2 linked regions of the Sus scrofa genome follow. The protein of the gene in region 1 purifies or fractionates together with the protein of each later gene. This does not show direct contact. Links are inferred from orthologs where the notes say so. Each region holds a gene or a part of one and is shown in the gene's direction. Other genes may lie near its edges.

Evidence for each region. Proteins that work in one complex are often made in the same cells at the same time.
Region 2: the proteins of ASF1A (region 1) and CABIN1 purify together in Homo sapiens (affinity purification with mass spectrometry; 4 studies listed by BioGRID and IntAct, counting the BioPlex papers as one, with this or other methods). This does not show direct contact. The link is inferred for Sus scrofa from reciprocal best matches to the Homo sapiens genes ASF1A and CABIN1.

What each region holds. Positions count from the first base shown.
Region 1 is NC_010443.5:43,212,266-43,216,012, reverse strand, and holds the start of ASF1A (histone chaperone ASF1A), read left to right. Parts: upstream 1-993; 5' UTR 994-1,442; coding exon 1,443-1,551; intron 1,552-3,747. UniProt on the Homo sapiens protein: Histone chaperone that facilitates histone deposition and histone exchange and removal during nucleosome assembly and disassembly.
Region 2 is NC_010456.5:49,785,075-49,788,821, reverse strand, and holds the start of CABIN1 (calcineurin-binding protein cabin-1), read left to right. Parts: upstream 1-1,108; 5' UTR 1,109-1,212; intron 1,213-3,332; exon of another isoform or gene 3,333-3,445; intron 3,446-3,747. UniProt on the Homo sapiens protein: May be required for replication-independent chromatin assembly. May serve as a negative regulator of T-cell receptor (TCR) signaling via inhibition of calcineurin. Inhibition of activated calcineurin is dependent on both PKC and calcium signals.

The sequences.
Region 1 (3,747 bases):
ATCGGTTCTATTAGAGCAGAAAAAGAAAAAAGAAAACCTTTATACCACTCTTACTTGGCAAATAGAAACAGTTCAACAATCTTATAAATGTGTTACGAGCTTATCTTTTCCCTACAAAGATAGTCAAACAGCAAATAGACACTGAATGTGGAATAATCAAGCAACAGTTTCCCTTGTTTGTGGTGCCATAATTTGTATTTACTAACCTTTTAGGTCATGGATTTTTTGAAAATTGCATGTCAGTATTCCTTTGTGATTCCTACTCTCCTTTTCCCTTCTCTATTGATATCTGTTACCTTTTGGTCTCCTCACACTGCAATTTTCTCCTTTTATTTTCCTGTTATGCCCACCACACAGTAGAAACCTGGAGTGTAACTGATCCCACCTCCAGTAATCTTTTTCTTATTCTAGAGTTTCCAGATTGGAATGGGAGAAAGAAGACCGAGGTGCCACCCAAGTATTACCTATTGCACAAAGTGTGTGCGGAAGAGCGTCTTCTCGCCCTTCATTTTGTATCTACTTAACTAACGGCGCTATTGTGCCCAAACGCAGGTATTGGCCAAGAACTACATTTCCAAAATGGCTTTATTCCTTTTGAGTTGGCATCAGTCTATAAAATACAATATACTTCCACTGCAACCAACCCTTTTTCTACACCCAATATTACCCAACATACAGAGGCTGAACCTAAGCTACTGTGGACAACAGATTCACATGTGCTTAATTCAGTAGAGAGCCGGAAAAGCCGTTGGACTGATGTTTAAAAAAAAGCGTTAAAAGAAAAAAACCCACAGCAAGCAATCCCAAGAGGCGGGCGTTGCCTGAGATCACACCCTCCCGCCGCCAGGCCCACGGCGAGCACGCCTCCTCGCCGTGGCCACGCCCCCGCCGCCTCGCCCGTGACCACGCCTCCTTCGACCCCGCCCCGCCGCGGCCACGCCCGACGTGCGGCGCGGGAGCCGCCGGGCCGGGGGGCGGGGCCTGTTCCGCCCCTCCCCCCGCCGCCGCCGCCGGCGGCCTCCGCGCGGGCCTCCCAGCCCGTATTCCACTCACTTTGTTCTCCGCCTTTGTCCTAATCCACACCAGCAGGTGGAGCCGCAGTTAAAGTTTCCGAGTCCATTCCGGGAGCGGGAGCCCATCTTGCTCGCCGCAGAGGCCCTCGCTGGAGGAGGAGGGTCAGAGCTCGGGTGCAGCCAATCGCGGGCAACGCTGCTAGTTATCAGAGCAGAATGGGCTGTAGTTTAGTGAAATAGGAAAGCTGCAAAACACAGTGGAGTGTTCCCGTGTAAATAAAAAGAGGAAAAAAAAGTTTCTCAAGTCGCCGCTGCACGACGTCGGGCCGGCGCCGGGGCGGGGGTCTGCGCTCTCCCGAGCGGCCGCGCGCTGGACTTTATTGTGCCGCAACAAGCCCCCGTTCCCATTGTTTGTGTTTTTTTCAAAATATGGCAAAGGTTCAGGTGAACAATGTAGTGGTGCTGGATAACCCTTCTCCTTTCTACAACCCATTCCAGTTCGAGATCACCTTCGAGTGCATCGAGGACCTGTCTGAAGGTGAGTCGGGCGCCCGCCAGCCGCCGGGCTGTCAGTTGCGGGCTGCAGACGTTGAAAGTTTCCCGGGCCCGGCCTCGCGCGGGCAGTCGGTGCTCGGCGCCGGGCGAGCTGCGGTCTCGGCTCTGCGGAGGGAAACTTGAAGTTGATGGACGACGGCCGCCGAGGCGTGCGCGGCGTTCGGCCGCAGCCGGGGCGCCTGCTGCGGCTCAACTTGCGAGGAACTTGTTCGAGCGGAGGTAGCCATGTTGTCAGCTTTGTCTGGCGGGCGGGCGGTTCACGAGACCCGCACTCTCTCCCGCGGCACCGGCCAGGGGTCGCGCCGGGCTGGCCCCGAGCCGCGAATGGCTTCCACGGCCCCCGCGGTCCCGGCGACGAGGTGGAAAGGGAGAGGCATGTGTGTGGTCGCGCCGGCGAGTTAGCAGCGGAGCCATCTTACCAAGAGTAGAGAATTGGGCCACCGACCCCGGCGTCACGACGCCTCCTCTCCGCGGGTGACGAACACGGCGCCCCGCCTGCCCACCTTCCTGCCCCGGAGCGAGAGGCAGATCCATTTTTAGAGCTAATGCCGGAGTTACCGTACACTCCTGGGTGGCCATGCCCGGCCGCTTCGGGGAGGAGAGCGAGGCTGTCCTCGCGCTGATTTCTGGCTCCCTCGACCAACCAGCGGGGGAGGCGGGCGCAGGCTCGGCCCCTCGGCGCCGCGGGCCGGCGACGGCGCTCCCCGGGGGCCGCGGGTGCTCCCGGGCCGGCGCTCCAGGGCCGGCGCCGGGGATGCTCGAGGCGCCTGGGGGATGCTGGCGCGCAGGCTCGCCCCGACCGGCGTGGACTCCTCATCCTTAAGGACCGAAATCTTCTCTCAGGAAGAAAATATTGCTAGCTAGGTGGTTACATTTAACCCAAATGCAGAAATAAGTAAAATATTTAAATAGTTTCCAGGACCTTATCACTGGTTTCTAAGTAGTCTGAAAGAAGACTTTCTTCAAGAACGTGTTGAACTCTAATTAAAATAACTCCACATCCAAATAACCTGAACATAAAACACAAAAAAGTGGGCTAGGAAATAAAAGGTTAAGTCCTGATGGTAATGCAGAAATTTGTGCCATTTTTTCTAAGTCCATTTTTAAGGTCTTAAAAAAGATAAATATTTTTAGTATGTGCAGTAATATTTAGAAAGCTAAAGTTTGCTAAGGTCTTACTCTCGCGATTTTACTAAAATTGTCCAGTGCTTCATTTTGAAAATTTGAGGAGGAAAAAGTTTTAACTTCACCAACGGTAATTTTAAAATTAAATAGACGTACTTTTAACTTACAGGTGTGTTTAACAAAGTGCATTTTTAAAAATATGCTAACCATGGCATGTAAAGCACTTTCACTTTAAAAATTGGTTTTTAATCTCTATATCATGTATTTTATGTAGGGTGTTAACGTTTTAAATTACAGAAACAACATGCTTACTGTAATAAACTTTTTAAAAGTTGTGCAGACATAATAACGTAACCATTCTCTATACTCAGTGCCTCCCCCATTTCACTCATCTATAAGTAATTATAATACTTTAGTCTGTGCTTTTCCATGTAGTTTTACTACATACATAAAGCCTATGTGCACATATATAAGTAGGGCACGTTTTGAAAGACGATTCATTTGTTGAACTAATTCCTAAATAGGCCATTGATAATAAAATTAAAACAGATTAATAGGGTACTCTGAAGCTACTTGGTTACTTTCCCATAGTATACAGGCCTACATTCATAGGCATTTCAACCACTAGGCCCATTTTCATGCCCATTAGTCTGATTTTTCCTTTTTATTTTCAGTTGCATATAAAAGTGGGCAAATGCAAGAGGGAAACTTTTGATGAATCAACTCCACCTTATACTGGAGTATTTAGGCATTGGAAGTTCTCGAAATTACAAGTATTTGTCAAGTGATGCCTTCCATTTTAGAGCCAGTTCTGAACGGGGAAGATAGATGATTCAGGATGTTGTTAGAGGGCTTTGCCATTGGGTGGCTGAAACCTGCCATTGGTAGAAGCTGAATTGTGTTCCACTTGTAACTGGGATCTGTTTAGAACCCAGCTAATCACATCAGAATCTTTACAGTATTGATGTCAGGAATACATCTACTTCGACTTGTATACCTCACCTCCCTGGGCACCTATGTAAGCATTTATTTAGTAATTTTTAAGAGTTTAAGC
Region 2 (3,747 bases), on another chromosome or scaffold:
CTCTATTTACAGCTCCCCACCCCTGCCCAGGTTACACTCCTTTCAAAATCAAGCTTGGTGACTCAATTATTTTTGTACCTCCTGGCATATCATTAAAGCTTTACTGTACTGAATTGAGTTCTTCAGCATGATTTTACCGTCTTTAAACAAAGTCAAAGAGAAAGGGCGTAAGATTCATCCTTCTTTTTTTGGCCAGGCTCACAGCTTGTGGAAGTTCTCTGGATCAGGGATTAAACCCAAGCCACAGCAGTGACAAGGTCAGATTCTTCTTCTTCTTCTTTTTTTTTTTTTTTTTGTCTTTTTGCCATTTCTTGGGCCGCTCCTGCGGCATATGGAGGTTCCCAGGCTAGGGGTCGAATCAGAGCTGTAGCTGCCAGCCTACGCCAGAGCCACAGCAATGCGGGATTCGAGCCGCGTCTGCAGCCTACACCACAGCTCATGGCAACGCCGGATCGTTAACCCAGTGAGCAAGGGCAGGGATCGAACCCGCAACGTCATGGTTCCTAGTCGGATTCGTTAACCACTGCGCCACGACGGGAACTCCAGACAAGGTCAGATTCTTAAACCGCTGAGCCACCAGGGAACTCCTAACATTCATTCTTATTTAAATCATACTTCCTGGACTCATGCACCTATAAATCTGAACCAGGGAAGCCCTTCCCTAAAATGCTTAGCTCCCAAGAGCGTAACATCTCAGTCCCAGCCGGTTGTCAGAAACCCTCTTCCAGGCTCTTAAATTCTGTTGTTCCCTCCCCCGCCCGTTCACCTCCCAACAGACTACCCGCCCTCCGCTCCCCGCCCCCAGTACTCTCTGCTTCAATAGTTCGTTGTATCTGTGGTTTTTAGGCTTCAAATCCTTTTCGGAAAAAGGTGAGCCACGGGCATAGGAATGAGAATATTGTTACTCCCTTGGTCCCCTCCAAGTGTCCCCAGGTTTCCACCTTCCGAGCACCTGTCGCAGTTGGAACACTGCTGCCGATTACTTAGCAGGTGTCACCAACCGCGCTGCAGATTACCGCCAAGAGGCCCTCAAGGTCCCCGCGCGCTGGCTCTCGGGAAGGCGCGTGCGGGCTCGCCGATTGGCTGGCGGAGCCGGCTCCCGAGCCAATGGGAGCGCTCCTTGTTGTCAGGCGCGCAGTCCTTCCGACGGGCGCGGGGGTCCGGCGGACGGCCTGTTGCCGTGGAGACGACTCGTGAGTTCGCGTACTGCAGGTTTGGGGAGGCCCCGGGCTGGGGTGAGGCTTGGAGGTGTGGTGCTGAGGAGCGGCTGGCTGGGGGCTGCTCACGGAAAAACCCAGGCTGGGAGCCCGAGCGGCCGAGCCAGGCCCCACTGCCGCGCGAACCTCTTGGCGGCTCCCGCTCCGCTTGGGGCCTGGGGCGGGGGTCTCAGGAACGCTGTGGGGGTCTCAACAACTCAGCCGTCCCGTCTGCGGTCGCGGAACAGGGCCCCGCACCCACCCTTGCTGCGTGTCCTTCCACTTAACCTTCGCGGCGGCGCTGCGCGGCGGGCACCAGGTGGGCGCCCCTCGCGGGATGGGGACTGAGGCCGAGAGGTGGTGCGGCCGCTTGTCCCAAGTCCCCAGCTTCCCGGCAGGCTAGCCGACTCCAGACTAAAAGCCTGGACCCACTGCCGTCCCGGAGGAGGCCAGGTGGAGCTTTCTGACGTCGGCAGGTGTCTGCACAGGCGGCTTTAGGGGTTCCTTCACCCCTTGGTGAAGGGCCTACTGTGTATGCGGACCAAGCGGCTGGGGTTCTTTCTGTGTGGTACATAACCGTGGTTAGGACCCATGTGTCCTCAGAGACGTCTGGTTCAGGGGTCAGCAAACTTCGGTTCTAAATAGAGTAGTTTATATGATACTATTCCTTGTGACAATAATGAGTGTAATTGTGCTTATAATGAGGAGGGGGCATAGTTTTCTTAGCTCTGTTGCTGTATTGTGGACACAGCCAACGACAGTTCGTAAAGTTGTTTCAAGAAAATTTCATTTAGGGACACTGAAGTTGCAATTTTATGTTGTCAGTAATTTTCATGTGTCATGAACTTTTCAACCATTTAAAAATGTAAAAAGTGGGAGTTCTTGCCATTGTACTGTGGGTTGTGCTGCCCACCCTAGCGTCTTGGGTTGCTTCTGAGGCAGGGGTTCAATCCCCAGCAGTGGGTTAAAAAGATCGAGCTTTGCGGCAGCTGCAGGGTAGGTAGGTTGCAGCTGTGGCTCAGATTCAATCCCTGGCCTGGGAGCTTCCATATGCCATGGGTATGGCCATTAAAAAAAAAAGAAAAAGAAAAAGCCATTCTTTGCTCTTGAGCTGTACAGAAACTGTGGGCTTGGTAGCTTGTGGATCCCAAGTCTAGCCCAAAGCCTCATACAGTGGAGGGAAATGACCTAGAGACCGGCATCTGATGCCATGTCAGTCACACGGCCCAGGCTTCCCCATTCCCAGGCCAGAGCCTGCTAAGAAACATCACCCCTTATCACTGGATCTGGGTGAGGTGCTCAGGGTGTGCTGTTGTCATGTGTTCTGAGGGCCATGAAAACTGTACCATAAAGATTTTGGAAACTCATGAGGTTTAAGTCCTGAATGTGCCTTTTTGGTTTTTTAAAATTTTATGGTCCCACCTGTGGCATAATGGAAGTTCCCCAGGCCAGGGGTTGCATCACAGCCACAGCTTTGACCTGTGCCACAGCTGTAGCAAAGGGGGATCCTTTAACCCACTGCGCCCCGCTGGGGATAGAACTGGAGCATCCACAGCACTCCACCAGTTACTTAGTCTTTACTAAACTTCTAAACTTTTTGGCCTTGCTGAGTTTTTCGTTTGTTTGTTTGTTTGTTTTGCTTTTTTAGGGCCCAACCGGCAGCATATGGAAGTTCCCAGGCTAGGGGTTGAATCAGAGCTTCAGCTGCCGGCCTACGCCACAGCAATGCAGATCTGAGCTGAGTCTTCTATTTAGACCGCAACTCATGGCAATGCCAGATCTTTAACCTGCTGACTGAGGCCAGGGATCCAACCTGCATCCTCTTGGACACTACGTTGGGTTCTTAGCCTGCTGAGCCACAGTGGGAACTCCCAGCATCATGTTTTTGTGGTTCATCTGTGTTTTCATTAGTTCATTCCATTTTATGGCTGATTGATATTCCATTGTATGGCTGGACCACATTTTGTTTATCCAGAAATTAGTTGATGGCCATTTGGGTTGTTTCTTCTCTTTGGTTATTATGAATAATGTAGCTGTGAACATTCCCTCATGGATTTTGCAGCTGCAATGTTACTTCATTGTATGGAGGTGCCATAGTTTATTTATTCATATCCTGGACTATCTGTGGCCATTTAGGTGGTTTTCAAGATCTTGCAATGGCAAACAGTGCTGGAACCCTGTGCATATGTATTTTTACATGGTTGGAGATGCATCTTCAGGGTAGATTCCTAGGATTGCTGGCTTGAAAGGTAAGTGCATTGGTGATTTTGTTGCCTGTTATCATACTCTTTTCCAGAGGGGCTATACTAGTTTGTTTGTTTTTTTTGTGGGGGGCTTGTACCAATTTGCATTCCCACCAAAGGTGTTTGAGAGTAGTGCCTGTTTCCCCACAACCTTACCACCAAGAGTGTGCCTTTGTGCTTTAGTTTTTGCCAGTGTGTTAGGTGAGAAATGGCATTTCAGTGGGCATCCTTTATTGCTGGTATTAAAGGAAGTCCTTCTGGTGTTACTTCATTTAATAAATTTTGGCTTTAGACTAAGGTATGTGTGT